Xenopus tropicalis: one gene and its partners. The protein of the gene in region 4 purifies or fractionates together with the protein of the main gene of each other region. This does not show direct contact. Links are inferred from orthologs where the notes say so. Each region holds a gene or a part of one and is shown on either strand. Other genes may lie near its edges.

What was found.
Region 1: the proteins of actr2 (region 4) and churc1 purify together in Homo sapiens (affinity purification with mass spectrometry; 4 studies listed by BioGRID and IntAct, with this or other methods). This does not show direct contact. The link is inferred for Xenopus tropicalis from reciprocal best matches to the Homo sapiens genes ACTR2 and CHURC1.
Region 2: the proteins of actr2 (region 4) and cttn purify together in Homo sapiens (affinity purification with mass spectrometry; 3 studies listed by BioGRID and IntAct, with this or other methods). This does not show direct contact. The link is inferred for Xenopus tropicalis from reciprocal best matches to the Homo sapiens genes ACTR2 and CTTN.
Region 3: the proteins of actr2 (region 4) and arpc1a purify together in Homo sapiens (affinity purification with mass spectrometry; 9 studies listed by BioGRID and IntAct, counting the BioPlex papers as one, with this or other methods). This does not show direct contact. The link is inferred for Xenopus tropicalis from reciprocal best matches to the Homo sapiens genes ACTR2 and ARPC1A.
Region 5: the proteins of actr2 (region 4) and coro1c fractionate together in Homo sapiens (co-fractionation; 3 studies listed by BioGRID and IntAct, with this or other methods). This does not show direct contact. The link is inferred for Xenopus tropicalis from reciprocal best matches to the Homo sapiens genes ACTR2 and CORO1C.

The regions. Positions count from the first base shown.
Region 1 is NC_030684.2:107,706,388-107,712,838, forward strand, and holds the start of churc1 (protein Churchill), read left to right. Parts: upstream 1-2,700; 5' UTR 2,701-2,781; coding exon 2,782-2,820; intron 2,821-5,146; coding exon 5,147-5,282; intron 5,283-6,005; coding exon 6,006-6,076; intron 6,077-6,451. UniProt on the Homo sapiens protein: Transcriptional activator that mediates FGF signaling during neural development. Plays a role in the regulation of cell movement.
Region 2 is NC_030680.2:14,570,027-14,575,914, forward strand, and holds part of cttn (src substrate cortactin), read left to right. Parts: intron 1-1,798; coding exon 1,799-1,879; intron 1,880-3,260; coding exon 3,261-3,334; intron 3,335-3,949; coding exon 3,950-4,079; intron 4,080-5,600; coding exon 5,601-5,711; intron 5,712-5,888.
Region 3 is NC_030685.2:41,697,434-41,703,886, forward strand, and holds the start of arpc1a (actin-related protein 2/3 complex subunit 1A), read left to right. Parts: upstream 1-2,364; 5' UTR 2,365-2,466; intron 2,467-5,334; exon of another isoform or gene 5,335-5,580; intron 5,581-6,453. UniProt on the Homo sapiens protein: Probably functions as a component of the Arp2/3 complex which is involved in regulation of actin polymerization and together with an activating nucleation-promoting factor (NPF) mediates the formation of branched actin networks.
Region 4 is NC_030681.2:31,958,657-31,964,544, reverse strand, and holds the end of actr2 (actin-related protein 2), read left to right. Parts: intron 1-1,597; coding exon 1,598-1,730; intron 1,731-2,767; coding exon 2,768-2,938; 3' UTR 2,939-4,156; downstream 4,157-5,888. UniProt on the Homo sapiens protein: ATP-binding component of the Arp2/3 complex, a multiprotein complex that mediates actin polymerization upon stimulation by nucleation-promoting factor (NPF).
Region 5 is NC_030677.2:146,436,493-146,442,990, forward strand, and holds the start of coro1c (coronin-1C), read right to left. Parts: upstream 3,616-6,498; 5' UTR 3,486-3,615; intron 3,348-3,485; exon of another isoform or gene 3,116-3,347; intron 1-3,115. UniProt on the Homo sapiens protein: Plays a role in directed cell migration by regulating the activation and subcellular location of RAC1. Increases the presence of activated RAC1 at the leading edge of migrating cells.

The DNA of each region.
Region 1 (6,451 bases), on a different chromosome or scaffold from region 4:
GCTCCAGCTCAGTCAGATTAGATGGACAGCAGTTTTCAGATCTTGCCACAGATTCTCGATTGGATTTAGATCTGGACTTTGACTGGGCCATTCTAAAGCTGGCCATACACGGGCAGATCCGCTCGCTTGGCGATGTCGCCAAGCGAGCAGATCTTCACCCGATATCCCCACCTACAGGTGGCGATATCGGGGAGGCATGTAGGCAATGGGGCAGTCGGTTCGGATCCGACTGGATTTTCTAACCTGGCCGATCGATATCTGCCCAATTTCAGGCCAGATACCAGTCGGCCAGGCCCCTCGGTTCTGCCCCTACACGGGCCGATAAGCAGCTGTAATCGGCCCGTGTATGGGGACCTTAAAGGTGCCCATATACCTATGGGTGGGCGATATCGGGTAGCAGAAAACTTAAAAAAAAAATAATCCGATCGTTTGGCCTGCACAGCGTGTGCCATCCCACCGGCGACTTACATTTTTGCCGGTGGGATGGTAGTTCGGGGAGATTAGTCGCCCGTGACAAGGGAGATTTGTCGCGGGGGACTAATCTCCCCGTGTGCCAGAGCCCTTAGACAACCTCTGAGGCCGTCACAGAGCAGCTGTATTTGTACTGACATTAGATTACACACAGGTGCACTCTATTTAGTCATTAGCACTCATCAGGCAATGTCTATGGGCAACTGACTGCACTCAGACCAAAGGGGGCTGAATAATTACGCACACCCCACTTTGCAGTTATTTATTTGTAAAAAATGTTTGGAATCATGTATGATTTTCGTTCCACTTCTCATGTGTACACCAATTTGTATTGGTCTTTCACGTGGAATTCCAATAAAATTGATTCATGTTTGTGGCTGTAAGGGGGCCGAATACTTTTGCAAGCCACTGTATAAGCATTAATAGTGTCATATGAGGAAACCTCTACTGAATGCTTGCAAGGCAGAGGCACATGTTGCCTAATATTACATAAGCCTGTTCTACTCAACCTGTGCAATTGCTTATCTGAAATAGTTATATATTATTATGTCATGCACTGTGGAGTGTAAAACCATCTTATAAACCTGTGAGAAGTGTGCCTCAGTGCCATTAACTTTAACGGGTTACCCATGCTCTGAGGTGGTGTAAAATAATAGTGTCCATTACTGCTGCTGAAAAAAAAATCATACTTCCACAAGTTAAAATTTGTATTGAATTTTGCCTGCTGTTTGCCAATGGAGTAAGGGGATATACACAGATTTCAGACACATAAATTCACAGGGATTCTTCAGACATTACCCTAGTTTGCCCCCACCCAAGCCACTCCCTGTAATTTGCACTTCAATTACAGTTAACCCATGCCACTGAAAAGAATTGAAAACACACACACAAATTAGCATAAAGAAACAGGCAGAGGTGGGAGTATAATCCTCCAATGTAAACAGGTTTGTTTAGGGAAGGAGTCCCCAACCTTTTTTACCCATTATCCACATTCAGATGTAAAAAGATTTAGAGAGCAACTCAAGCATAAAACATGTTCCTGGGGGTGCCAAATAAGGCAGCCTATAGGAGGCCCTGTTTGGCAGTACATCTGGTTTTCATGCAACCAAACCTTGCCTTCAAGCCAAGAATTCAAAAATGAGCACTTGCTTTAAGGCCACTGGGAGCAACATCCAAGGGACTGGAGAGCAACATATTGCTCACGAGCCACGTGAGGTTAATAATGGCACATGATTTTCTCAATCTGTATGTGTTTGTCAGCAGTGACAGCAATGTCAATGTGCACTGAGCGTTTTCTGGCACATACTGTACTGTACCCTGCGTGTGCAATGCCAGGCAGATGACATTACAAACACTGCTGAGAGACACAGGGTGGATTCAGGCTGTAATGGTGTTTTTCCAGACACAAGCAAGTGCCTAATAAGTGCCATTAGCCAGGAATATGAGTGATTTTCAAAGCTAGTGTAGAATAAAGGCAAGTAAATAATATTTAGTAATGACTGTCTCGCTACTGGTGCAACATATAGTAACTATGGACAAGTTATTTTGGCAGGGTAACCATGTCACTAGCTTAATGTTACCAAATTACTTGAAAATCCAGCTAGAGGGGATAAACTGATTGCAATTTGATATAAATACAATCAGTGCTGCCCAGCAATGTGCAACATTTTGAAGTGATCTGGTAACCTCACACTAGCTATGCCTCTTCTATAACTATTACAAAAACAATACAGGTATAGGACCCATTATCCAGAATGCTCGGGACCAAGGGTATTCCGGATAAGGGGTCTTTCTGTAATTTGGATCTCCATACCTTAAGTCCACTAAAAAATCAATTAAACATTAATTAAACCCAATAGGCTTGTTTTGCATCCAATAAGGATCATTTATATCTTAGTTGGGATCAATTACAAGGTACTGTTTTATTTCTACATAGAAAAAGGAAATCAGTTTTAAAATTCTGAATTATTTGATTAAAATTGAGTCTATGGGAGACAGACTTTCCGTAATTCGGAGCTTTCTGGATAACGGGTTTCCTGATAAGGGGTCCGATACCTGTATTTATTTAGGCCGCAGTGCCTTGTGCCATTACCAGGTTTATTATCTGGCTACATCGCTTGTCCAGCTGCAGTAGTAGTTGCTTATTACAGTAACTATTACTACAGACACATTTTAGCCCTAAGCGCTGTAAGCGAGACCACTTCCTGGCATCGCGATGCTTCGTTTCCGGAAAGCGCAGCGCACAGAACGGTGCTTCTACTTTTTCCTGCGAGCGGGGATTTGTTCTGACTCCCCAGCTAAGACAGCGACATGTGCGGAGGCTGTGTGCAGGAGGAGTACCCGGATCGGGTGAGTGGCCCCTGGCTGCACGGAGCCTGTATAGCTATAGCGAGTAAAGGTAACTGAGAGCTCAGGCTTTCCGAGAGTCATGGGAGCTACCGCGACAGTCAATCCTAGGTGGCGCTGTTTATTACGTCACACCATTTCCTGACCAATCGGACTTCTCGTTACATCATGGTAGACTGGACTGGAGTGAGACGGTCATAAATTAGTTCCACCCATGGAGCAGTTTTAGTGTGTGTTATAATAAACTAACGCACTCGTTATACTGTAGTGGTCCATGTGCAAGCTTAACACTAATATGGCTTTGATATCAATATCTGGCAGAATAACCAAAATCAGCTGTATAGTAGGGGCTTCCTTGTTGGCCCCGGAGGTCTGGAGATTATTTATAAAGCATGTATGCCTTTCTGAAGCGCAAATGATATGTTGTTCAAATCAGTTCTTGCCCCAGTGGAGCTTACAGTGTAAGGCTGATGTGCCACAGAGAGATTTAGGGTGAAGACACAAGGGCTGAGTGACTTTTTAAAAAGTCTAATCTGTGCAGTGAAAATATGCGAGCGATTAGTTGCGGCGACGCCCATTATGGGCAAAAAGTCACCGCAACTGGCTTACTTAAAAGTCGCGGCGACTAATCACCCCATGTGTCTTCGCCCTAAGTTGCCCATGATAGATCTCTACTACCACGGCTGACTAATCTCTCTAAAATGCCTATCACTGGTGGAAAAGCCTATGCGTCGCTCCGGTTTTTCTAAAGTCGTGCAAAGTCTACTCCTGCAGGTAACTTTACCTCACTCCGGAAAGCCAAAGTAATACATTTTGGAGAGATTAGTCACCTGCGGTAGCAGAGATCTGTCACACGTGACTGAAGCTGGCCATACACGCACCAATAATACAAGGTTTCGTACGATATTCGGTACGTGTATGGCGAGTCGACCGATATCGCAGGAGGCTGCTGATATCGGTCGACTCGCCGATCGGGCCAGTTCAAAGATTTTGATCGGGCGCCTGACCAAAATCTGCCTTCAACGCTGAATCGCAGAAGGAGGTAGAAATTCTATTGTTTCTACCTCCTTATCTGCCATTTCAGCCCTGAACAGTTTGTGGCTATTTGTACGATCTTTCGTGCTACCGATAGTCGCACGAAAGATCGCAAATCGCCACGTGTGTGGCCACCTTAAATCTAATGGGTGTGTTTACTGGCATTGGAGATAAATATCATTGTTAATATTCCCATAGCAACCAATCAGCAATTAGATTTGAACAAGCGCCTACAAATTAGAAAACAACAGCAACAAGCCAATTACTTGCTACTGGCAACATTACTGGTGATATCTAGTTCTAGTGTTAGTAAACACGCCCCTTACATCCTATCACATTCACATTCTATCATGTACCAGTTAACCTGTTTGTAGCTTTTTGGAGTGTGGAAGATAAAGATACAACGGGGCAGTGGCACACAGGGTGATTAGTTGCTAGTGATAAATCTTCACTACTGGGAGCGACTAATCTCCCCGATATGCCATCCCACTGGCAAGAATGTAAAACACTGGTGGGATTTTTTATTATTTGTAGTTTTTCCAGTTTTTGTTCAAGAGCTCTACAACTTTAAGTCTCAGCAGTTACTTGGTTGCTAGGATACAAACTACCTTAGCAGTTAGGGTGTGGTTTGAATGAAAGACTGATCAGAAGGGGACCTGATTGGAAAGATAGTTAATATAAAGTTAAAATAACAATTAAACTGTAGCTTCACAGAGCATAGATTTTTTTCTGCAGGGGTCAGTGACCCCTTTTGAAAGCTGCAAAGAAAAATAATGCAAATAGTTAAAAAACTATAAAAAAAAATAATGAAGACTTATTGAAAAGTTGCTTAGAACTGGCCTTTCTATAACATACTAAAAGTTAACAAAGGTGAGCCACCCCTTTAAGCCCCGTCAGGCATGCCCTGGAGAAAAGTATAGGGTCCCGCTGTTACTGCTGCTCTTTAATCATTCCTTGTGCGTAAATAGGATGCTGAGAACTGTAGTTCGATAACAGGGTTATAAGTTGGATATTCCCCTTATTAATACTACACATATCTAACATTTAATATAATCTGTACTTTTACAAATGTTATTTTCTAGTTTTTGTAATTAATGGGTCTGCTTCAGCCTTCCTAAATGTGGCCCTTATGGCAGTTTGGCACACTGACAGTGAGATTTTTTTATGTAGTGAAATATTGGGTTGCCTCCAAACCTATTAGCATTGCAATTAGCAAAGCTGCATTGCCATTCCAGTGACCAGTTTATATTTGTCAATTGCCAGTATGTCTAATTTCAGTTTATTTTTTTTTCAGGGCAGCACATGCTTGGAGACAGGTTCATTCTTGTTAAACTATGTGAGTTGCGTTCAGTGCAATAAGAGAGACTTTGTTCTCATAGTGAATAAAACAGCAGAGGAAGAGGATGGTGAAGAGATTATCACTTATGATCGTAAGCATTTTTATCCACTTAAAGGCTGCCAACCTCGAGAAAATTGTTTGCTTAGTTATTTGTGATGCGTTTTGTTTTTGTGTTTTGAAGTCCTGTTTGCATGCTCACTGCAATTTGTGGTCCCCATGGCTTAAGCCATTTAAAGGGCACCTTTCACCCCCCCCAAATTGTTTCCCTCACTAGAGGTGCCAATAGAGCCGCACTGGTTGGGGGGAACGGTAGTTTTTTTCAACAACAACAAAAAATTGCCCCTAACAATGCTAGGCCACCCACATTGTGAGGGAGCTCCCGGTGTGGTTGACGGCAGTAGCATAACAAGTGTGCACCAGACCCCCCCTGCAAAAAAAATTTCAGAAGGACCCTGTGCACAGCAATCCATACCCATTCCCCCACTGGGCCACTTCCCGCCACCTATTGGCATCTTCTGCCTGCATGGGTCGTCCCTCCCCAGTCACTCTACTACTTGTGAGCAGGGAGGAAAAACTATAGAGGAAGAGGACCTTGGCCCCAACAACCGCAGGGTTTGCTTCCTCTATATTTATGCCACTGGGCCCCACAGAACCACAGGGTCTGCTTCCTCTATAATTGACACCACTGGCATGTGCACTATACAACATGGCCAGGGGCTGTTTTTTTTTTTTAACTATCGTTTTTCTCAACCGGAGTGCGGGCTGTATGTATGCAATATAATACAGATTTTTTTCTTTTTTTTTTATAATATAGATATGTGCAAAAACTGTCACCATGTGATTGCAAAACATGAATACACCTTTAGTGTGGTTGATGACTATCAGGTAAGGAAAATGATCATGCTGTCATTTTACTACATTTTAAGTATAAGGCATTATTTTATTATTTATGTATTTTTATTATTAGATTTTAAATTATTTGATTAAAATGGGCTCTATAAGAGATGGCCTTTCTGTAATTTGGAGACTTCTTGATAACAGATCCCATACCTGTAGACATCTGTAGTGCTAGAAAATGATTTGTAACTCTATGAATGTGCATAGTCCTAAGAAATATACAGTTCTGTGGTTCAATAAAAATATTTGTATGTGACTTTTTAGCATTATAAACTTTGCTCTATTCAAAAGTGAGCTGTGTAAAGCCAGTAACTATAACATAGTAGTAACAGAAAAATTTGCCCTGGCAGCTATCTTTCAAGC
Region 2 (5,888 bases), on a different chromosome or scaffold from region 4:
TCTATAGATTCTTTGATGTCCGACTTTTATACTGTAAACTGGGAGGTGCTGCCTTAAAGGGGTTGTTCACCTTTGAGTTAACTTTTATTATTACGTAGAGAGTAATATTCTGAGACAATTTGCAATTGGTCTTATTTTGTTGATTTTAGTTTTTGAAATATTTCACTTTTTGTTCAGCAGCTCTCCAGTTTGGAGTTTCAGCAGCTATCCGGTTGCTATGGTCCAAATTACCTTGGTAACCAGGTAGTGGTTTAAATGAGACACTGGAATATGAATAGGAAAGGCCTGAATAGAAAAATAAGTATTAAAAAGTAACAATAACAATAAACTGTAGCCCCACAGAGCAATAGTGTTTTGACTGACCCCCCATTTGAAAGTTGGAAAAAGTCAGGAGAAGGCAAATAATTTATAAACGATCAAAAATATAAAGTAAAGACCAATTGAAAAGTTGCTTAGAATTGGCCATTCTATATCATACTAGTTAACTTAAAAGTGAACCACCCCTTGAAATTAGAGGCTGAAACAGCTTGTCTTATATTCAGCTTTTGGTCTTATATTAGTCATCAATAAATACCTTAATACCTGCCATACCAGGGGCATTTCTATGTTGTGTATTTAACATTAATGGCTTCCGGCTTGTGATGTGTTGTCTGTCTAATTAGCTAAAATGGTATTTCTCACTCTAATAGGAAGCTGCATTCTTGTTGGTTTATATGGTACCATTGAGTGGATTAAATGAAACTGTATGAGACCCATTAGTTTAACCAAGGCCTCTCCGGCTTACTTACTAAGGTAAATTGCACCTGTGCAGTTGACCGTAGCAACCAATCAGATCTTTGTTTTCATTTGTTAAACTGCTCAAAATGAATTACTGATTGGTTGCTATGGGACATTGCAATGGCTCAATATAGAACCCAAGAGCTCAGCTGCAGCGGGTTTATTGGGTATGCGAACGTACGCGGCGAGGAGCCAAAAGTCAATCGCCGGGGGAAAAAGTCTGGGCACCCCTGATGCAGAGAGTCATTTTTTGAGACAATTTGCAATTGGTGTGAGTTTTTTATTTGCAGTTTTTTAATTATTTCAGTTTTTGTTCAACAGCTATCCAGGTTGCTAGGGTCCAAATAACCTTAGCAACCAGGGAGTGGTTTGAATGAGACCCTGGTATATAAATAGGCGATGACTTGAATATAAAAATAAGTTATAAAAAGTTACGATAACAATAAAACTATAGCCTCACAGAGCAATAGCAGGGCCCCACAGCATTTTTAAAATGAAAATGCTGTGGGGCCCCGTAGCAACTGTTGCATAAGCCCTATGTTCTGCGTAAGGCATTTCTGTGTGCCGCCCCCTCTCTTGTGCTTTCAAGTTGTCCTTTATAAAAAAGTAGGTTAGGCTTTGTGCATAATTGTGCCTAGATGAAGCAGGGCATCGCTTTGGGTCTTTTTCATGTGTTGGGAGGGGCCGTGCTCTCTAATTGCTTGCTATACTAACGACATAATGATGCACACTGCGGCCTGATTGGAGGGCAGCCAGGAAGTGCTGTTAGTGAGAGGGCATATGCCCATGTGACTGGCGATTAAGGGCTGTGGCATTCAGTGATTGAGACCAGCACCTCTCAGCAATAGTGACTGTCAAACAGCAGGAAATAACGTCCAGGCAGGATAACAGTATCTTTGCTTTGCCCTTAATGGGAAGAAAATAAATGTAAATATATATTTATATACAGATACAAATAAAACCTGTTCTCTTTGTTTCATATTTTGGCAAAGTTATTGAAGCTGGCTTTTATTTCTTCCAGATGTGGAAATCTGCCGCTGGACACTCTCTCTCCATCTCCACAGATGAGACCGACGACTGGGAGACAGATCCAGATTTTGTGGTAAGTAGAAAGGCCTCGAAGTATCTATTCTTTTATTGGGCAGCATGTTGGGCGGTCATCTGTGCAACGGCATCAGGGCTCCGACTTGCCCGAGGTTGTCCTTTTGTGCTGAAGGATTGGCTCTTGGCACCAAACCCTACTTCACACGTGTATAAAACAAACAGAAATGAATGATTAACCCACTGTAAGGGTGAAGACACACAGAGCTACTAGTAGCAGCTACTTGTCACGGCTAAAATAGACAATGCTGATCATTTATTAATAATTGTCTCTACATGTGTTTTAGTAGAGGCAGTTCCCAGCATTGTCTATGGCAGGTTATATGGCAGCCGTGACAAGTAGCTGCTACTAAGTAGCTCCATGTGTGTTCACCCTTAAGGTGGCCATACACGAGCAGATCCGCTCGCTTGGCGATGTCGCCAAGCGAGCGGATCTTCCCCCGATATCCCCACCTACGGGTGGGCGATATTGGGGAGCATTTAGGTAAAAAAAAAAATAATCCGATCTTTTGGCCCTGGGGCCAAACGATCGGATTATGTGGGCGGCAATGGGGCAGTCGGATCGGGGACCGCATCAACGAGCCGATGCGGTCCCTGATCCGACCAGATTTTCTAACCTGGCCGATCGAGATCTGGCCAATTTCAGGCCAGATATCGGTCGGCCAGGCCGCTCTGCTCTCTCCATACACGGGCCGATTAGCTGCTGAATCGGTCCAAGGGACCGATATCGGCAGCTATAGTCGGCCCGTGTATGGGGACCTTTACACTTGTCAGCCTCCAGTGATAAAAGTTTAAATCAAAACATAAGAACACTGCTCATGCAAATTGTAGTTTTATTTATTATTTTAAAATTTATTTTAAATATCAACCTACACCTTCCTGGGACCACACCTAGGGGGCCTATCTACAAACCAATCAAATTTGCTTTTGTTCTCTAAAGGTGGCTATACACTAAGATTAGCTCGTTTGTTGTCGTTGCCAATTGAACAAAACCTGCCCTAGGGCCAAACGATCTAATTAAACTGGCGGGCATAGTCGCTGTCTGCTTGGGGACCACAGCAACGAGCCAATGCAGTCCTGATCCGACAGAAAAATCAAACCTGTCTGATCGAGATCTGCCTTATTTCAGGCCAGATGTTTGTTGGGAGGCCCATCAGCGTTGCCCATAAACAGGCAGATAAGCTGCCGAATCTGCAGTTAAAATCTGCCCCTGTATGGCCACCTTAACTTGTAGGTGAGCGTTCAAATCTATTTACTGATTGGTTGTTATGGGCAGCATCACTAGTGATTGTGTTGGCTATAGGATATAAGTGGTACATGTGGCTGTTAAAAGCATTATTGCAAGATGGCAACTAATATTTTTCTCTTTTTTTTTTGGACAGAATGATATAAATGAGAAAGAACAGAGATGGGGAGCAAAAACCGTGGAGGGGTCTGGACATCAAGAACACATTAAGTATGTACTATGTAACAATCTAATTTACTTATTGGACCACAGATATATATATATCTGTGTACATGTTGATGTAGGGGAATTGTGATTTTACAGACCTAGGGTTGCTGACTGTTATGGGGGATCGATATCTGTACCCTAGGGTGGGCGCACACATGCTGAGTTGGAAGATATTCCAACTCCAATTGGGCCGGAGCATTTTCTACTCCCAGAGAGACTTATGGCCCTCTAAAGTTGTCCATACATGGAAAGATCTGCTGGTTTGAGCGGATCTTTCCATGATATGAGTTAGGTGATCCCAAGGGCTGAACGATCAGATTACATTGACAGAATGCAGGCCGTAAGGACGAGGAATGTTGGCAGCTTTTATCGGCCTGTGTATGGCCAACTTAAGCCCACTGTTGGCCATTGGTCTTTCCAGTTTTCCATTTTTTTTTACTGCAGCATAAGTTAATTGGCCATATAGATTTCAGAGGAAAAAATGTCTACCCAAGTGGCTCAGACTCTCTCCCATATCATCAGTACTGAAGTAAACATTCTCAGACTGGCTACTTTTTAAGTGTCTTTACACGGTGCCATAATTTTGACACTGACCTGTGTGTGCCCTGTTCTTTTCAGTATCCATAAACTGCGGGAGAAGGTGTCCCATGAACATCAGGAAATTAAGGAAAAGGAGTTAGAGATTGGGCCCAAAGCCTCTCATGGCTACGGTGGGAAGTTTGGTGTGGAAAAGGATCGCATGGATAAGGTGCGTGATTGAAGAGCTGGGTGACTGCAATGTTATGGTTAAATTAGGGGTATCTCTACTTGCTGTCTTAATGCCTTTGTGCTTGTACACAGCTTCTTGTAAAAGAATTCTGACTTTATTGTCATTATTATTGACGTGTATTTATAAAATGTGTGGTCCCCCCTCAGTGAGTTTTACCCACTTAATTCAGTACTCCTATTTATTTGCGTTTAACATGGCTGCCTGCTGGCGGTCCTTTGGAGACCTGTATAAGTAGCTCTTAGTCCAGGCACTTGGAATGCCTGTCATTTATTAATCAGCCTAAAGCTACGGCCCTGGGAGTAACCTTATTTCCCAGTCCATGCAACGCCTCTCCTGTATAAGGAAACCTGGTCCTTATTTGCTAAGTGCAGGGCTGGGTGCAAAGTGCAACAAATGGGTGCAAATTGCTATGTTTTTTGCAGTTTGCACCCTGCTGTTTGCTTAGCACCCCAGACACAGGCTTGTTCTTTTCTCCCCTGTATACAGTAATGTATCCATACAGCTGGGCAGGAGGTAGTACATGGGCATTCCCTGGAACAACCTGTTTTATTCAGATGCAATAGGGCCTTGTAGAGACCTACGTAGCACTAACACTTCTGTATTCAACAAAATGTGCCAAGCGGAGGCTGCCCTTGCAACTGAGTCCTAGCCTATATTAATAACCTGAGCAAGACTCCAGGGCTGCCTAGTATTTATACACACGCATGCATAGGGCTACTTAATCCAATTAGGTCAGAGCAAAGTAGTTGGTACTTGAGGCCCTCGTTGCTCTTGGTTAGCTCTCGAGTACAGTAGCGGCTGTGTTATCTGTGCCGGGTTTTGTTGCTGTTACAGCAGGAGGTTGAAGAGACCAGCACATGCTATTGGTACCCAGCCAAGAAATGGTCAGTAAATGAGAAGGCCAGCGGAGGAGCTGCCAGCCGATCTGTGGCATAATGAGCCTCATGCGGTGCCAGTTTATCAGTCGGCACCATTCATCTCGCTTTGTGTGTGTGTGTGTGTGTAGGAAACAGGAAGCGCTGAGTGAAATCAACTCCCTTTCCAAGTCTGCTCTGGCAAATGAAACAGATTCCCGCTGACTGCCTCCTTATGTGACTGTCAGATGCACTGCCAAGTCCTATCGGCTTTGTATTTTATAGCACCAAGTTACTGACAGGTCTTTCTCATTATGCGTTTAAACGGGCGTTACACTTACACATCATCCCTTCAAAGAATGGCACAGTTTGTATAGTTCATATTGGCTTGCACAGTGGAAGGAAAAGTAAAGGTGAAATTACTGGACGATGCCAATTTGCCTGATACCCAGCCAATGTCCTTCTTTTAAAGATGCACTGACCCGGTATACTTTCTTCTAAACACCATCTTTCTATGCACCCCCCTGGGCGAGTGCATGTACCCCCTATTTATAATTAGGCAATGTACTTTTTTTTTTTTTTTGCTTTCATTGTATTTCTTCATATAGGGTTCTATAAAAACTAAGCATTTCCCCTCTCTGCCTAGATGGCTGTCGGCCATGAATATCAGACCAAGCTCTCCAAACACTGCTCGCAGCTGGATGCCACAAAGGGCTTTGGAGGAAAATTTGGGGTTCAGACAGACAGAGTGGATCAGGTAAGCGAATGCCAATATCTGTTTTCTTTTATTGGGTCAGAGTGGGTAGCATGTGTTGGTCCTGGTATCCAAAGGCCAATGGCATACCAGGCTGTAAGCCAATCCACTCCTTTCTGTAAGTTGCACTGATTAGCACAATGTTCGATGGTATGCACACACACACACGGAGCGGATTTG
Region 3 (6,453 bases), on a different chromosome or scaffold from region 4:
AGACCACCAAAAACGTTAAATGCTAAATTAGAGTCACACTACAGGTAAGTATAATAAAGGCATACTTTATTTGAACTAAACCATAGCCATTAAATAGACAAGACACATTAAAATCATATAAAACACCCTATTGTACCCACACTTTCCACCATATGCCCCCTAGTTTATTTAAATTATGTCAGTAATAAATCAATAAAGGTAATCACAGTATTTCAGCTATGTCCCCCAAACTTCAGGTGCTTGTCATAACAATACCTGAGTTATAACCACACCGCCATGACTGGAGCTGTGAGTGTAACGATGGTCTACGGTGGTCTACTGGGAAAGTCGCTATCATCATCTTCTAGACGTGTGTGCATCCGTCGTTCGTCTCCCTTTTGATGTGCGTGCACATCCGTTTATGAGCATGCGTGCGCGCACTGTTCTCTTCGTTGCGACGATTATGTCATTTTGCCGTGTAAATATTTAAAGCGTTCTCTGCCTCTGTTCATTGTCGAACGTAGGTTTCTTCTTGTGAGTTCCTGGGTGTGTTATTAGTGTTTTGCCGTGTATTGACTCTTACCTGTTCCTGACCATTCTTGTTTGCTGCCTGAACCGACCTTTGCCCGTTTGACTATTCTCTTGGATTCTGATTCCGTACTGCGCTGCCTGACCGTTGATGACCCTGGCCTGTCCCAGACTACCCCCCATCTTCCTGCCACACGATTGGTTCCCTTGCCTGCTCAGAACTTTCTCCTTGGGTCTCTCACAATAAGTCCTGGCAGCATCCAAGTAGCGAAGGGCTCCTCCCGACGTGAAAGGCAGCTGTTATAAGCAGAAGCGTGAGCCGTGACCGGACCCTTGGCGCCTGTTCTGAGTTTTGGGATACCGATTGTGACAGTGAGGACACAGTAGCACAACTGATTTTGTTCAAGAAATTAGAGTCTATAATCCCACAATTTGTTAATCCTGCAGGCAAGTATCACAGCTGTGTCTTACATACTGTTTGATGTGGGCAACCCTTGTTTAATAGATACTAATACGAGACTTCTTTAAAGGGCTGATTTATCAATATTCGAGTTTATGCTTAACAATTCGAGAAAAAACACAGTGAAAAAATGCAAATGCAACTATACTCCAGAATATTGTTAAGAACCATGAATAGTCGGTATTTATTAAAGAAAAAAATCAAAAAGTAAATTTGCCAGAAAAAACTCAGCAAGTAAAAGCTAGCTAGAATCAATAGAAGTCAATGAGAAATGCTTTTTTATTAAATAAGCTAGCAATTGATAAGAAAAGTAGCACAAGTTTTGTCACAGTAATTTTTTTTATATTTTAACTGCTGTTTTTATTTCCACAAACTCAAATTTTGATAAATCTGGCCTTAAATGTCTGGACAATTAGGAGAGTATAAAGGGAGAATACTTGCTCCTATACACATTATCATGTCATGAAAAGCACCTGCAGTTTGGGTGGACATAGCTAAAATACTGTGAATACCTTTAAAGGAGACATATTGGATAAATTAAAAAAAACCCTAATTTTGTAGGTAATTATGAATAATATATGGTGCTGGTTTCCCATTCGACTAAAATTGAATACAGTCTGTAAAAATAGCCCCTTTATTGGAGCTCCTTATAGACCCTATCAGGTCCCTGTCTGTGTTTCAAATGAAGGCTGGGCGTGTTCACACATAGAGAAGATTATCAGTAAATGATCAGCATTGTCTGTTTTTGTAGTTGCGACAAGTAGCTCTGTCTCTTCACCCTTACAAATAATTATGGCGATTGTTAAGCTAATTAAAATACTAGCATAGATTAGAAAATGTATACACAAACGCTATACATATTATGTTATGAATCAGTAACATAACTGTTACCTAATTTGGCCTTCATTTCTTTTTAATAGTGTTCATCTGTGTATTACTGACTCTTCCAGATAAACTGTTACCTGTCATAACACAGATCTGTATTTGTGAGATTAATACTGGTAACTGTTAAATAAACTTGTCATAAACACAAACATCCCAGTTCCCACAAAACCTGTTTCCTTTTTTATTAAATTGGGAGAAGCGATCGTTGGCAATCAAGAAAAGGTATTTTTTAGTTCCCTGGCAAAGAGTTGGAACTCTGCGCTGAAAATATAAATAAAAAATTATGATATTGGGAGCTTATCGAGCATGGTGACAAACCAACACGAGAGACTTCTTTTCTATTATAAAGGTTAGAGGTCTGTACAGGGAAAAAAATTATGAAAACTACGATAACTTGAGATCATCTTAAGATTTTGTCACGCCTGCTCGTCACTCTCACAGGGCCCCTATGTGTTGCGTCACTGCGCATATGTGAAGTCATGACGCCAGTCTCGCGTGATGAGACTTGTGGCTTTGGGATTGTAAGGGAAAGAGCTTGCAGGCATTCTATCAATAACCCTCCCTTCCAAAGTCGGTAGGTTACTGACAGCAGGGGACCAGATAATCTAAACTAAGTAAGTGAAGCGTTGTCGGGCCCACTTAAAGACCCAAACCCACCGGGTCTGGGACGACTATCCCCACCATGACGGGCATGTTTATGTGTCTCCTGGCCTACCCATGTTAAGATATTATTAACAATTAACAGGATAAAAATGGGCGAAGTGGATTGTGCTAGTACGATTTCATTTGTTTGGTATAAGCATATTTTATTATTTTTTAGCCGCCTTCAGGCCTGTACTGTGGGGCTGCTGTAATACTTAAGACAGTCATTATTGGCTGGCCCTCCGTGTACCTGAATTGCCAGGCCATACTTTGCATCTCCGGACCTGGACACCTTGCCCCCTTGTTCTGTAATGAAGACAGCTGTTCTTATTCTTTATTTATCTTGGATGGAAAGTATAATGCTTTTGATGATGTTGAGGACTCAACTTGGGGTCTTATGGCCAGTATAATAGTGTTGTGTTTATTGAATTCTCTGAATTTTCATGCCTCTTTAATGATATGAATGTTAGTTAAGAAACATTCATATCAATGTTAGTTAAGAAAGTGTAAACCTTATTGTGCACATACTGTAGTGTATTTGTGTTAAATATGAGCAGTGCTGGCTGATTTGGTTACCTGTGGTAGACATCAGTAAATATCTGTTGTGCTTAAAATAGACATATTGGATAAATGGAAAAAGCCCTAATTTTGTAGACAGTTACGAATAATATATGGTGCTGGTTTCACTTTGGGCTAAACATTAAAGAAAAAGTAACAAGTAAAAAATCTATTCCACCCTGCTCCAATAATTGCCCTATCCTGCACACCATTTATTATTTTGAATGCTTTATTAGTATATACCTTCTAAAACTTTGCATCCAGTCATTTCAAATGCGGTGCTACGCCAATCTTCCCTCTGCACAATCCACTATGCGACAATCAACATCTCCTCCTTGCCGAGTCCAAAACCAGAAGTCTGTATGAAGTTTGCCTGTACAGAAGGAAGGCTAGGAGGAGATGTCAATCTTCGCATAGTCGATTGTGCAGAGGGAAGATCGCCGTATTTTCCTTTAATCCTGTCTGTAAAAGTGGTCCCTATATTGGAGCTTCCTATAGATCCTATCAGTTCTCCATCTGTATTTCAAATGAAGAAGTGAGCATGTCCTAATGCTCCCTGCCAGAAGCACAGCAGGAGGGGGATAGCCATTCACAGCCCTGCACTCACACAAGCAAAGACGGGCTTCAGTTCCCTACAGTGCAGTGTGCTGCTGGCTCCCCTGCACATCCAGAGAATTCAGCAAGCAGGAAGTGAAACAGATGGGCGGGACTACTGGGGTTATGGTGGAATTTCTCAATAAATCAGTCCGAAACACAACTTTTTTCAGCACAATCCTTCTTCTATATTCAGAGGAGTATAATGCACTGGTACATTAATAATTTTTATACGATATGTCTCCTTTAAAAGAGCATGAAGTTCTTTGGTAAAGGGTAGTAATTGTCTCTTTGCCCATTTTTCTGGTGATATTCTATATCTATTAAGGGCCCCATTATAACAGTCTTGCAGTTATCTATTCATATGGCTTTGTCAGTGTGTCCAGAGGCTTAACTAATTAATTTACAGTTAGCATTACCCAAGTTAAAAGCCATAATTTTTTTCCACTGGCTTTTGCCTTGGGGAACTATTGCCTTCATTCTATGGTTGGACCATGTTATAAATATGTGTACCAGATTTACCTGATCTGCTTTAGGTGTCATGGATCAGATGATAGTATAGTGTTAGTCCTGATTTTTTTGGTGTACTGTTTATTTTGAAATTTACACTGCTTACATAACAATTATCTATTAAAATCTATTAACTGATGCATTTTGAAAAATACATGTTTTTCCATGACAGTATTCCTTTAACAAGGATATGAGATTTTCCCATAAATGATTTATATCATGGAGGTAGGGAGATTTACACCTATCTCTGGTAAATATTCGCTCTCAACCAAATGGCACCACACTGCAAACCGCAATTTAGAGCTATAGTGGATAGTTTAGTGCTATAGTGGATAGTTGCCTTTAAACTGTAACAACATACGATAACCATAATAATCAATAAGTTTACTAAGCAGCTGAAAATTATACTACTAAATGTAGTATCCTGTTATTCATACTCAAATATTTCAACTAGAATTTGCAAGTTTTCTTTTACTGTGGCAGTCATTATCCTGGGTTTCATTTAACTGAAAACTATTGAAAAAATTAAAATGTAATACAGGTATGGGATCCCTTACCCGGAAAAACCCGTTATCCAGAAAGTTCCAAATTACGGAAAGACCATCTCCCATAGACTCCATTATAAGCAAATATAATTTTTAAACATTATTTCATTTTTCTCTGTAATAATAAAACAGTACTTTGTGGTTGATCCCAACTAAGATATAATTAATCCTTATCGAAGGCAAAACAAGCTTATTGGGTTTATTCAATATTTAAATTATTTTTAGCAGATTTAGTGAGATCCAAATTACAGAAAGATCTTTTATTCGGAAAACCCCAGGTCCGAGCATTCTGAATAATAGGTCCCATTCCTGTACAATGAAAAAGAAAACTTTCGAAATATAATAAATACTTTTTGAAATGATCAAGTTAAACTCTTCTTTTCCTGTCTTATTAAAAGTTGGAGTCAGAATTGGGAGTCGGAAATTGATTGACCGCTTTAATATACCATTAGTGTGTGCTTTCATGTCTAGGCAATGCATTACTGTTAAAGGAGACATATACCATAATTTTTCAGTTTATCTTAAATTGCAGCTAACACTCTAAAATTGAATAAAATAAAGTGTATTTTATACCTACTGTTGAAGAAGGCTGTGTAATCCCTGCACAAATGCTAAAGCCCCTCCCTTTCACAGGGCTTCCGGCTGGAAAATAGTCTGTCTGTAGCTGGGGCCGCCGGCCCTGGCTTCTTTCCTATACAGACGCTGCAGCCACTGAGAGAGGAGTGGGCGTGAGACGTGGGCGGCGCCTTTGATGACGTCATTTCCCCGCCCACGTCAGTCACGCTGGGGTCCTTCTCAGTGCTGCTCCCGGCCAGCCCTGCTTTCCTGACTAGCAGCTCAGTTGAAGGAAGATTCGCTGCTTCTGTGACATGCTGGAATGTAAGGCACCTTAATTCTCTTTCTTAAAAAAAAAAATTATTTACCAAATCAAAAAAAACGTTATTTACAATGAAGATTGTGTTTATTCATTAGACTGTACCTAATGATAAATGATGTGTGTTATTTGCTTGCAACTCCCTGCATCCATGTTAGGTTCCAATTATATATAGTTACAACTCCCTGCACCCAATCCTACAGTGTCCCTGCCCATCAGTATTACGTTCTGCAATCGCTATGAGAGTTTTTTTTTTACATGCAACTCCCTGCAACTTGTACTTTGACACCTAAACTGGCCGTTTTTTGGTATTTTCCCCTGCAACAACTCCCTGCAACTTGTACTTTGACACCTAAACTGGCCGTTTTTTGGTATTTTCCCCTGCAACAACTCCCTGCAACTTGTACTTTGACACCTAAACTGGCCGTTTTTTGGTATTTTCTCCTGCAACTTGTACTTTGATACCTAAACTGGCTGTTTTTTGGTATTTTCCCCTGCAACAACTCCCTGCAACTTGTACTTTGACACCTAAACTAGCCGTTTTTTGGTATTTTCTCCTGCAACAACTCCCTGCAACTTGTACTTTGATACCTAAACTGGCTGTTTTTTGGTATTTTCCCCTGCAACAACTCCCTGCAACTTGTACTTTGACACCTAAACTGGCCGTTTTTTGGTATTTTCCCCTGCAACAACTCCCTGCAACTTGTACTTTGACACCTAAACTGGCCGTTTTTTGGTATTTTCTCCTGCAACAACTCCCTGCAACTTGTACTTTGATACCTAAACTGGCTGTTTTTTGGTATTTTCCCCTGCAACAACTCCCTGCAACTTGTACTTTGACACCTAAACTGGCCGTTTTTTGGTATTTTCCCCTGCAA
Region 4 (5,888 bases):
GCAACAGTACATTATATTTTAATTACTTTAAAACACTTTCATATTTTGGTGTTATTGTTCCTTTAAGTGTGTCCATTAAAGGAACAGTAACGCCAAAAATGAAAGTGTATAAAAGTATTTAAAATGTACTGTTACCCTGCACAGGTAAAGTTGTGTATTTGCTAGAGTAACAGTACTATAACTAATAAATAAGCTGCTGTGTAGCCATGGGGGCAGCCATTCAACCTGAAAAAAAGGAGAAAAGGCACAGGTTACATAGCAGATAACAGATAAGCTCTGTAGAATATAATGAGGCTTTATCTGTTATCTGCTAAGTGCCTGTGCCTTTTCTCCTTTGAATGGCTGCCCCCATGGCTAGACAGCAGCTAACTTATATAAACTATAGTAGTCTTTCTGAGGCAAACGCACCAGCTGTACCAGCACAGGGCAACAGTACATAATATTGTAATTATTTTTATACGCTTTAATTTTTTGATGTTACTGTTCCTTTAAACAATTGCTTCAGGTTTTCATTTAAGCAATTACTTCCTTTATACAGAATAAAAAATACTGTGCAATATATCCGTCAGTGTATGCCAGGCATTAGTGGTGAAGAACCTAGTTACCGGTTGTAAATAGCAATATACACTACATTTAGTTTTTTTGGTCATTTGCCTCATAGGAAACATGATGTTGCCTTATTTCCCCTTTAAAGTGATAACGACATTTGGAAGTTCTCAGTATCCTTCAGCTGAGAGGTTCCCAAATTTTTGGACTGCTCCCCTAGGGAGTCCCAACCTCAAGGGCACCTATGTTATGCATTAGGTATAGCAAGGTAATTGCTGCCACTTTTATTTTCATGTATTCTAATGAATGGGAGGGCCAAGCAAATATTAAAGAAATGAAGTGCGCTTAAATTTATGAATTTTAAGGGAGCAGTATATCCACTTGAAGTAGTAGTTGAAGCAGCATGGAAAGCATTATTGGCAGAGTTTATATACAGGAATATAAAGGAATTGACCATCTTAGTTCTAGTAATATCTTCCCTTTTCGGAGGTGAGAGACAACTTCCTGTTCAGCACAATGAGACGTTAATGAGCACCTTTTGATATTAGCTGTAGTTAACAAATGTTCCAATCCTTGAATACTGTGGAGTAGTATATGCAGACAAATACAGCCCATTCAGTGGTGTGCCACCTTGTATTTTGGGTCTCTGACCTAGAGCTGTGAAATGCTATGAGATTATACAGGCCATTCAGCCTCATTTAGAAAGAAACGGCGTCCTTTGTTTATATGGTATGTAATTTGAGCTGTTACAGTATGAATACTGTTTCATGTCCCAGCTTTCCTCGGACGCTAATAACAGCACGAGCAACTTCCTGTGTCTGTGTTTGAACTAAATATGGAAACGGGTAAAACAAAAAAAGGCAAACAACGTTAAAGAAGATAAAATTGTTAAAGACAATTGAATTTAAAAACACATACCTGTTAAATCTTTCACCTCCCAGCATGTTTCTATAGATGTTTGTTATGGATGGAATTATTGTTTTTATTCTGCTCCTGCACTCCTCTGCAGTACATAGTAAATGCTGACATCTGTCCCTTTGTTTGTTTCCAGGCCAGAGTTCTATAAGCACATTGTGCTGTCAGGGGGCTCCACAATGTATCCAGGATTGCCCTCCCGTTTAGAGCGAGAACTGAAACAGCTCTATCTGGAGCGAGTCCTGAAAGGAGATGTTGAAAAATTATCGGTAAGGCTTTCAATTCTTGTTTTCTTTAAAAAATAAATTATTTTGTTAAAAGCGGTGTGCTTTCTTTCTGTTTTACAGTCTGAGTGTTGTGCTGCACATTACAACCTGTGGCACGTAGGCTTAAAGTTGCTTGTTTTGCTTAGCAAATTATAACTTCATCTTAACCTGGTACTGATTGTTCCCAAATCAACACAGCATCCTGAATTGCCATACAACATATTTCAAAGCCAAATGTGTGTTCTAGATAGAAATCCAACCCACAAACTGCATTGCCTGTTGGTAATTGTTCCGTACATTGTGGCGGCTCAGTATATGGAGTGTGGGTGCCTCTGGGAGCTTGGCAGTAGGCTGAAATCCAGTGTATGTGTTCCCCATCCATGCTCTGCTGACAGAGCTTTATATCATCCATTTTGAGAAACATATGATTTTAACAATAGGTGATACAACATAAATTTTGTTTATACCCCCTCAGTTGACCAACATTTGATGAGGGTCTCCTAGGCTTACAGATCAATAGAAAAAAATAGTAATAACACTCATTCTGTTGTCCCATACTTATCAAGGACAGCAAATAAGCAGTCACCCTAGGTCTTACATGAAATTGCATTGAGACTGAGCATGTAGCAATTTAGTTAGCAATTAAGCCTTCATGTTTAAGGTCCAACATTTGGCCAAGGCCCTCTATAGCTCCTTGTAAGGTCACAGATGCAAACATCAATGTATGATAAATTTAGCATACTTAGTATAGAGTGAGCTATGGGGGTGAATACTAAGTTTTGAGTGCTGTCTTCAGGGGTATCCTGGGCCACATTTAGGCATTTGCCACAAATCTCATACTAACTGGCCTTATGAACAGCTCCCAAAACTGTGATACCAGAATGAATCAGGTGCTGTTAGATTGAGCCAATCCATTACACTGTAGTAACATCAGAATGTATGCCACTTTGACTTGTGTAGAGTTATATGCTCAAAAATTAGGTTGTGTTTCAGTGCATATCATGTTTTTTCTTCATCTTTTTTTCTTCTCCTTATTCCAGAAATTTAAGATCCGCATTGAAGATCCTCCCCGCCGCAAGCACATGGTGTTCTTGGGTGGAGCAGTATTAGCTGACATCATGAAAGACAAAGACAACTTCTGGATGACGCGCCAAGAGTACCAAGAGAAAGGCACGCGTGTTCTGGAGAAACTTGGTGTGACTGTACGATAAACACAACTGCCATTTCCCATCGCTTCTCTAAAGCTTTCCTTGTTTCCTTTATTGCCAATCTCTGAACTCATTCAGTTCCATGACTTTCTTGGAAAGGCCTGTCTGTGTCCTTTTGACCTAAAGATGGGAGTTTTTTTTGCCCTGTTTCCTGAGGAGAGCTTTGTTCCATGTTTGTTAATGTACCTCGGTTTGACTATTTAATATGCCGTGTCTTTACAAACACAAAGCTCTAACCACAGAGCCTAACTGCTCCACATTGTCCGTTCTCGTTAGACATTTGGCCAATCACAGTAGGCTTTTCCATCTAGTGTACTGCTCTAAGGCTGCTAGCTTTATCTTCTACTCACCGGGTGGTTTGCCTTTTGTTTCTATAAGAGAATCCTTTAAAAGCAGCTTTTAATACCATATCCTTGGGATGGACCCTTTTTTTTTTTCCTTTTTTTCCACATTAGCCTTCTCGTACACAAAAAAAAATCTAGATTTTTTTTTTAAGCAGTTATCGGTAATTGTGATTTATTTTGTACAACAATTTACAAATCCCTCTGCTGCTTTCTGTCACTTTAGTTATAAAATCTAAATTTTTGTTTTAATTTTTTTTGTTTCCATGTTTCATTCTTAGAAGGTACACTTCTACACAGTCATGTCTGTTGTTAGGGCGCAGCATTAGTGTGAAGGAGGTCCTTTGCCCATATTGTGTGATAATCATTGTTAGGCATCACTTACATATAGTAACTCAGTGGCCCTCCAGCTGCTGTTGAACTTACCCAACTGCTAAAGGCTGCCAGGGTTTTGTGGGGATGTAGTTCTTCAGCAGCCAGAGGTGCCCTGATTTAAATGGTTTTATCCCCCCTTCTTTGCTGTGGGCCTCATCCAGCCCTGCAAACAGCACCATGTAACATGGGAATTGCTGGACTTTTTTTCTTTTTGCCTTTTAATGAAGCACTTGATCAGGTGACCCATTCCACTGGGAACAAGCTCATTGACAAGAAATTATCAGAACAGTTAAAAAGTTACAAATGTGTTTGTGATTATTCCAACAAAATCTAGAGAATTCCTATCTATCTATGAATTTCTTTTGTTTTATTGTTTTCCTTTGTGCGCTCGTTTCTATAGAAGCGCAGTGAATAAATTTGCTGTTGCTGTAAGACAGTGCCAAGTGCGATTCTTCCAAGAGGAATGTTCCCAAGACAAAATAAATGACATATAATGGTTATCTAACCCACGTCTCTGCTAACGTCTATCCTTTCCACAAAGCGACAGTTGCTGGGGAGAGCGATTTTATTTATAAATGCTTGTTTTTTGGGGATAATTCATTGATTGTATGGTGATAGCTTGCTAGGATTTGTTTCGTTGCACTGCTCTCTAACGCACTGAGGGCTTTTAGTATGTGTGTGTTGTGCTACCTTCTGTATCGCTGCACGCCCACTGTTATTCACTTGCAAATGGCTGGAACCATTCGCTGAGTGCCACCACTGAATCCAATCTGACACAAGACCTGGGTCCGGATGTTTAACTATAAATGTACAGGCTGCTGTCTGTTATAAAGGTCTATATTATCCTAGGAACTGAGCAACCGCTTAGAAGTCAGAATGGAAGATAAATAGTAGAGGGGCAGCATATAATCATAAGGAGTAACAAAAATAATCTAGGCATTTAAACTCCAGTCAGTCTGTGAATTGATTACTAGGGTCAGTGACCCTGGCAGTTTGGAAAGAGGCAGATTAGGAAAGCAAATAGGATTTTTAAAATATTCAGTTTGTCAACATTGATGAGTAACCTCAAACGCAATGAACTTATTAGGCATTCAATAGCAAATACACATAATTAATCTGGACATTATGGTAACATGGAATTCCTTTATATACACCAAGTGAGCATGATACTGTAGCTTATTATGCACCCAGCCCAGAGTATTGTTTATTTTAGGGAACTATTGTGTTTCTTTATCCTAAGGGGAAGATGCTGTGCTCCCTTGGGCGCAGGGCGAGAGGTGCCGCGCTCCCTTGGGCGCAGGGCGAGAGGTGCCGCGCTCCCTTGGGCGCAGGGCGAGAGGTGCCGCGCTCCCTTGGGCGCAGGGCGAGAGGTGCCGCGCTCCCTTGGGCGCAGGGCGAGAGGTGCCGCGCTCCCTTGGGCGCAGGGCGAGAGGTGCCGCGCTCCCTTGGGCGCAGGGCGAGAGGTGCCGCGCTCCCTTGGGCGCAGGGCGAGAGGTGCCGCGCTCCCTTGGGCGCAGGGCGAGAGGTGCCGCGCTCCCTTGGGCGCAGGGCGAGAGGTGCCGCGCTCCCTTGGGCGCAGGGCGAGAGGTGCCGTGCTCCGCTAGGATGATACATGTCAGATAATGTTGAAATTGGCAAACTGCATATAAGAATTCCAATGTGTCCCTGCACATTGATGGTCCTGTAGATATGTGCAGTATTCTGCTTGTCACATCTCACATAGAACCAGCTTTCACCTTTAGAGCATATGTATTCAATTCAACAATAGGTGGGTTAAAGCAGGAGCTTTGTACCTAGCTGGCATACATACCTTCTAGTTCTTGCTATGTGCCTGCCTATTCCTGTACTCTCTATACAACACGTCGGAGCCTGAGAATCACTGCAGTAGAAAACAGGCTTCCTATGCTAAGCAAATGCCTTTCTCTGATCTATCAGCAATAATGAGCCTTCTGGGAATAGACGGTATATACTGTACATTCCTCATGCTACACACACAACTCACATGAATAAAGGCTGATATGTCTACATGCTGCTGCATATGGCAGAACTTATGGCTTATATGGTCAGTAGCCAGACACGTGTATTCAGAATTGGCTACCATGCATTTTTAGACCAAATTGCAACATGACATGCAAAAAATGGTGATTTATTCTACAGCAGGGGTGGGCAAACTTTTAGGCTCAGGGGCCACATTGACTTTTAAAATTTGACAGACGGGCCGGGCCAGCACCAGACGG
Region 5 (6,498 bases), on a different chromosome or scaffold from region 4:
CTCAAGCTGGCCATACACTGGCTGGCCTCCAAGGTATTTGAACTATTGGTTCACAGACCAAACAGACTGTTAGCTATCCACAGTTCAAACAGCATTGTTCTGTTTTTCAAACCAATTGCCCAACCAAGCAAATTTAATAGGGCGTGAGGAGGAGTTGTGGTTCCTCTCTGAACCATCCATCTGCTGAAATGGTGCTTTGGCAGAAAAAAATTATAGGTGATGGTTTGCTGACCCAAGCCTGATGCATGGGGCCTGTCCTATGCACTGAGATGGTAACTCCTTCCAAATTATGCTGCACCACCTCTTAAATACTCTGTAAGCAGAGGCAATGCCCTAAAAACTATACACACGTATGGTGGATCATGCCTAACCTGGTAACCAATTATCAGAAGAGTCATTACCTGACATGACCCTGAGGAAGCTGTGTAGGAGGTGAAACACAAAAGAGGCTGGGGTAGATGTACTGTGAAGAGGTCTAGCCTCCAAAGCTCCCAAAGTTTAGTAGGCGGGTTACTGTCTGGGGATTCTACCAGGGGGCTGATGGAGGTATAAAACCAACAGACAGTGAAGTAAACTGTACTGATCCTCTTGTGGGGGTGCTGATCCCCTGAGGGACATTACACCATTCTTTTAATTTCTGTGTGTTGGGCTAAACAATATCTGCCAGAAAAAGCGAACTGTAAAAACTACAGATTTAAAAAAAAAAAAAAAAAATAAATCTTTATTTTGCATGTTATGCCTCTCTTCAGCCTGCCATTTACTGCCAGATTAGGGTTATTTCTAGCAACTAGATAACAAAAAACATCAAACTGAGGACTCAATTAGTTCAAATACAATACTAATGAGGCGCAGAACTAAAGCTGTAATTAAAATAAATTTTAAAAAAACGTAGAAAGGAAGACCAAATCTATCAGTATTTGCATAAAGCTGCATTTACAAATTTTAAGAGTGCCCCTCATCAACCGACAATGTGGTATCAAGGTATATTACTTTTATGTGAAAGCTTCTAATCACAGAGCAGTCACATGATGCTAAAAGGAAAGTGCAGGAAAGGGAACTAGTATAAAGAGAAATGACGGATGGGTGAAAGAGCAAGAGAAGGAGGTGCTTAACAGATGGAAAGAGTAATGAAGACAGACAGAAGCAATCCATAGTATCTTCTGTTTCCCTAAGAATAACATTGCACCTTTAATGAGTAAAACCCATCTATAAAAGAACTGTGGGATTGCAGCCAACAAATGTATTTGTGCTCCAAAGCACAAACCCCCACATGCCTCCCACTTGTATGTGTATGGATAAAGGCAGTTTGCTGTAGACCACTGTGTTCTGAATAAAATGTTTTACAAATTCCATATTAATGAATTTCCCTAATTCCCCACCTCCTTTCACTCCCTACAAAAGGCAGAGGAGACAGAAGGAAGTCTCCTCCAGGGCGAAATAATTTCTTTAAGTCACATAGCTTAAGAAGAATATATGAAGGGGGAGAGTGGAAGAGAAACAACAGAGGGAATTCATACAGCAGCTGCCCTCCTGTATCTGTATGTGCATCCTTCACCCAGACAGCACTGATATGGCCATTCATTTCTAACATAACATGGCATCTCCCCCTCCCAGCTAATCAATGTAAAGGACAAACCAGAAAAGGAAAACTGTACTATGAAACCAGTGCAAAGGGTTACCATCTCTTTTCTAACAGCACCAGAGGTAATATACTGGCCCCATGCCAGCTATATTTGAAGTTAACATGGGCTTTGATAGTGGAAGAAATGACACAGCGAGTATCCCTCACAGAGAGCAATGCAGTACAGTATGCAATTAAGAGGTGATAAGCAACAAAGCCATAAAACACACCCAAGTTAGACAGTGTTTATACAGACTTTTTAGAGTTATTTGTGGTTATTTATCAAACTTCTAACACACCCTACATGTAGAGCACCAGTACTGCCACACACCCTGCCAATTGCCATATATATGAAAGAGTAACAGCAGGTATACACTGGATAAGTAGTACTAATACAAGCATTAAAAGCCCATTCCAAAATGATCAATATGAAGCACCAAAAAAGCAAATGCCAAACCATCAGCAACATTAAACTAGCTTGGCCTTTTTTGCACAGGGCACTTTAAAAATGTGTGTCAGGTGGATGCAACCAACTAGTGATGTGGTTGCCCCTCGAGTTAGGGTTGAAATTTGGATAACCATTGCAGGTTCAGGTTGGGTGCTTGTCACACTGGGGAAGTACACTCTTCCTCTGCTCCCAAAGTTTCTCTGTCTTGAAACCTAAGGCGCACACAGGAGTTGTGTATAGCATGGAAAGACACTGGTACAGTTTGGGCATGGGTCCTACAATGGCAACATTTTGCGGGTTAGGATAAGGTGCGCTTTAAGGTTTCACAGGTTAGGGACGGTGCGGGTGGACATCGCTGAAACCTTCCCCACTGGCCATCCAAAATGAAAAGAATTTAGTGGGAATGTATAAACTGTCTAAAAAACATTCAGTATTGATAAACAAAAACGGAATGTTTAATATTCTCTACATCAAGCCATAATTATCCAAATAGTGCACAGATTTTTGTAAAAGAAATCTACTGTACTGCTTGCTCTGTGGCTACAAATGAAATATGCATGGACTCCAATAAAACACTACCTCTAGTGGGTAAAAAGCCATAAAAACCATACAACTAAATGTTAAAACATCAGTGAAAGACATGGGGTCTGCACTCTCCATTCAAGAAATAGCTTTCACACAGCATATTACTTACCCTTAACCAGCAATCATGGCAGAGCAGAGTCGGCCACACCATAAGGCACAGCCTTTCAGTGAGGAAACTGGATGGCAAACAAGGGTTAAAAGCAAGGAATGACAAATGCTCACAGCCATGATCAGTCAATAACCGGCTAATGGGCAATAAGGGTCATTTACGAGAAAGCCCTGTAATGTCATTCTCAACCCTTAGCTTCCTGCAACGTAGGCACTCTTACCAGCAAGGGATTTCTATAGTTCCATTATTGATCCCCCACCCCAAATTTACCCACTGGCACCTACTCACTCTTACCCTGCCCAATTAAGCGAACAGATGGGTTAATATTATACAGCCAGATTCACACAGATACCTTATAAGTGGCACTCTATTATTCCTACAGCGAGCCCTCCTGCTCCATTGCCATTCTTTATTCCCATCAGCCCAGCCCGGCCGCACTGCAGGCCCGTCACCGAATCACTTCTCCACAATGAATTCCAATTAACACATATCATGGGTCCTGCTGCACTTACACCAGACCATGCCACTGCTACGGAAACGGCAAAGGCTGGGCTTACTCACCAAGAATGGGCAAAAGGGCAACCTACAGCAATGTAATCGTGACTGCACTGCCACACGTGGATTCTGGGAGTTGTAGTGCAAAAACAGCTGGAGAGTCGCAGCTGCAGATCCAGGGTTAATTATACTGCGCTGGCACATGAAATCAAGTGATCACTCCATACCTGACTCAATGATCTCTTCTTGGTGCCCTCCTTTGGAGTGGCTCGTATATGCCGGGAGTGGGTCCTTGTCGTCTTTCTGACTGGGTTGAGGGAAGAGGCACTCACACTTCACCCTTCCCGCACTCAAAATGTACCACTCACACCAGCGCTACCTCGCAGCCGGAAGCGCAACTAGGGCCCCACCTCCCTCCCGCCGCTTCTGACTGACGTAGCTAGAAGCCAATGGGCGAGCGAACGGGCTGCACCCAGAGCCGAAACTATTTTACTATCACTCCGCTTGGTGAGTAGCCCAATAGGGAGGGAACGCAAAGTAGTTCCATACATGCTGAGGCGTATTAATATGTATTGTAGACCTAAATACTGCGGTGATTTTGTTTCGCGCATGTATCGTTAGCGAAATATTAAGAATGTATTTGATATGATTAAAATTAACAATAGCATTTGACGTTATTGAAGTTCTCAAGTGCTCCTATATGTGTACACAAAGTATGTACTTAGGTTCATTCCAATATGTGGTGCAATAATTGTTGGGAACCGCCCTTATACCCCAAGTGAGGTAATAAATACTGCAGGCATACTTCTATAGAAACAATATTATGAAAGGCACTAATTTTCACCCAAATACTCAACCTAGTTGGCCTTCACTCAGGCCTTTAAAGACTATGTGGGAAAATTAGTGCTCCTACTACCACCCTTATGGCCCTCAGGCTGGGCTTAGTAATTGCCACTGGCTCCATTTTACATACTGTGCCAGAATGAACCCTGCTTAAAATAATACATGATAAAAGATATTTTTCATTAATTTGGAGCCTTTGCTTGATCTTTTTTACATTGGTAAAAACAACATTCTATTGACTTTAGCAACAGTATCAGGTTGGCAAGCTACCATTATGAAGATAGAGCAGACACTTTTGCATCTTATTACCTACATTACCTTATCCATGGTAATTTCCCACATACATTATTTCTTTATGGCATACATTCTCTGAAGAATCTCCTTCACAAGAATTGTATGGGGAAAATACACTAGTGAATACACCAGTCTTTAATCTGGACAGGCTCCATGCATAGTTACATTCTTGGTATAAAATAGTTAACTTGCAGTTTTATTTTATATATTATTAGCCACACAATACTTAGTTAGCCTACAGATGACATAAACGCATAAACACAATGTATTATCTCGAATTGCATATTAGGACTACCCAACGCCACCAAAAAGTATTCAACCTATGGGCCCAAGCAAGTCCACCCCCTTTTAAGAGTGACATTTAATACTGACATAAGGGGTCAGCTCCAAAGGGGTTGTCCACTTTTGAGTTAACTTTTAGCATAATGTAGAGAGTAATATTTTGAGACAATTTGCAATTGGTCTTCATTTTTTTATTATTTGTAGTTTTTCAGTTATTTCCGTTTTTGTTCAGCAGCTCTCCAGCTTGGAGTTTCAGCAGCTATTTGGTTGCTAGAATCCAATTACCTTAGCAACCAGGGTGTGGTTTTAATAAAATACTGATATATGAATAGCAGAAGACCTGAATAGAAAAATAAGTAATGTAAAGTAAATGTAGATTCACAGAGCAATAGTTTTCTGGCTCAGGGGTCAGTGACCCCCATATGAAAGCTGCAAAGAGTTAGAAGAAGGCAAATAATTCAAAAACTATTAAAAACAAATTATTAGGACTAATTAAACAGTTGCTTAGAATTGGACTTTCTGTAACATACTGAAAGTTAAGTCAAAGGTGAATCACCCTTTAATTTCTGCAGAGTGTTATATGTAGCTTGGAACTGAAGGCATTTCACTATTATTAAACCAATTTCATACCTAAAAGAGGCGTTGTTGTAGGGGACTTACATTATTAGACTGTAAGCTCTAAGGGACGGGGACCTCCTTATTACTGTGTCTCATGGCATGTAATCTGTGTATTTTTACGTATTCGTTGTTTTTATTATATTAATACAATACTATATTTGTGTGTATTGTAGGATTATACAGTGTTGTGTATGTTTGTAGCCCTTTATAAAGTAAAGGTTCCCATACACCTTCAGATCCGCTCACTTGGCAATGTCGCCAAGCGAGCGGATCTTCTCCTGATATCCCCCACCTTCGGGTGGGCAATATCGTGAGAATCCAGGCTAATTCGATCATTTGGCCCTGTTTGTTCCATTTGACATAAGTTTAAGCACTCAGTTATTCAGTATTCTTGGAAATTCTAACAAGCTGCCGTGTTCAGGGAATTAGAAAAAGGACCAAGAGGATGTTATAAAGCAGGCTGGACAGCTTAAGCTCAGGAAGAGCATGCATAAAAACAGCCAAAACATAGGCCAGGGCAGATAGATGGAAAAGACAGTATCAATAGCAAATTTCAAGAGAGAGAGAGAGCTAATACATCAGAGTAGACTAACCAGGGACACTATAAATGACCTATTAACACGGAAGGGGTCAGCAAACTTGCAATGTGAGGTTACACAATTTCCTGCATCAATATGCAAGCCTTTGTGTATTGCTAAGAAAGTACAACAAGGAAGGACGTCCACTGTAGTGTACTTCCCTTATGCTTGTGTGGTGGCAGTCCCTCTTTAACCACTACATTTAAAGGAACAAAAATATATTTATGCCTAAACTATATAAAAGGAGTATTTTTTGAAAACAAAAATGTATGGGGTGTTTTTTAATAATAAAAAGTACACCATAATCATGACAGAATTTCTTTAAAAATGCCTGCACTTCAGTTTTGTGGGGGTTTCTCGCCCACAAAAAGTCACGTATATGTTTGGCAAACTGGAACCCTTAGCTTGTAAAAAAGCCTACCAAAGTAAATGGGAAAATCCAGGTGCTCCAACCTCTTGCATAGGTGCTGTTCCTTTAAATTTTTCAAAGATGTATAGTCTCCTCCCCCTTTTTCTAAATTATCTAATCATCTTGTTATCAATTGGTGTTCAGCCTTTAAAATACTGATGTTGTTGTATGTACATTTAAGCCTATGATGAAGTGTCAGACAGACACAAAACTCGT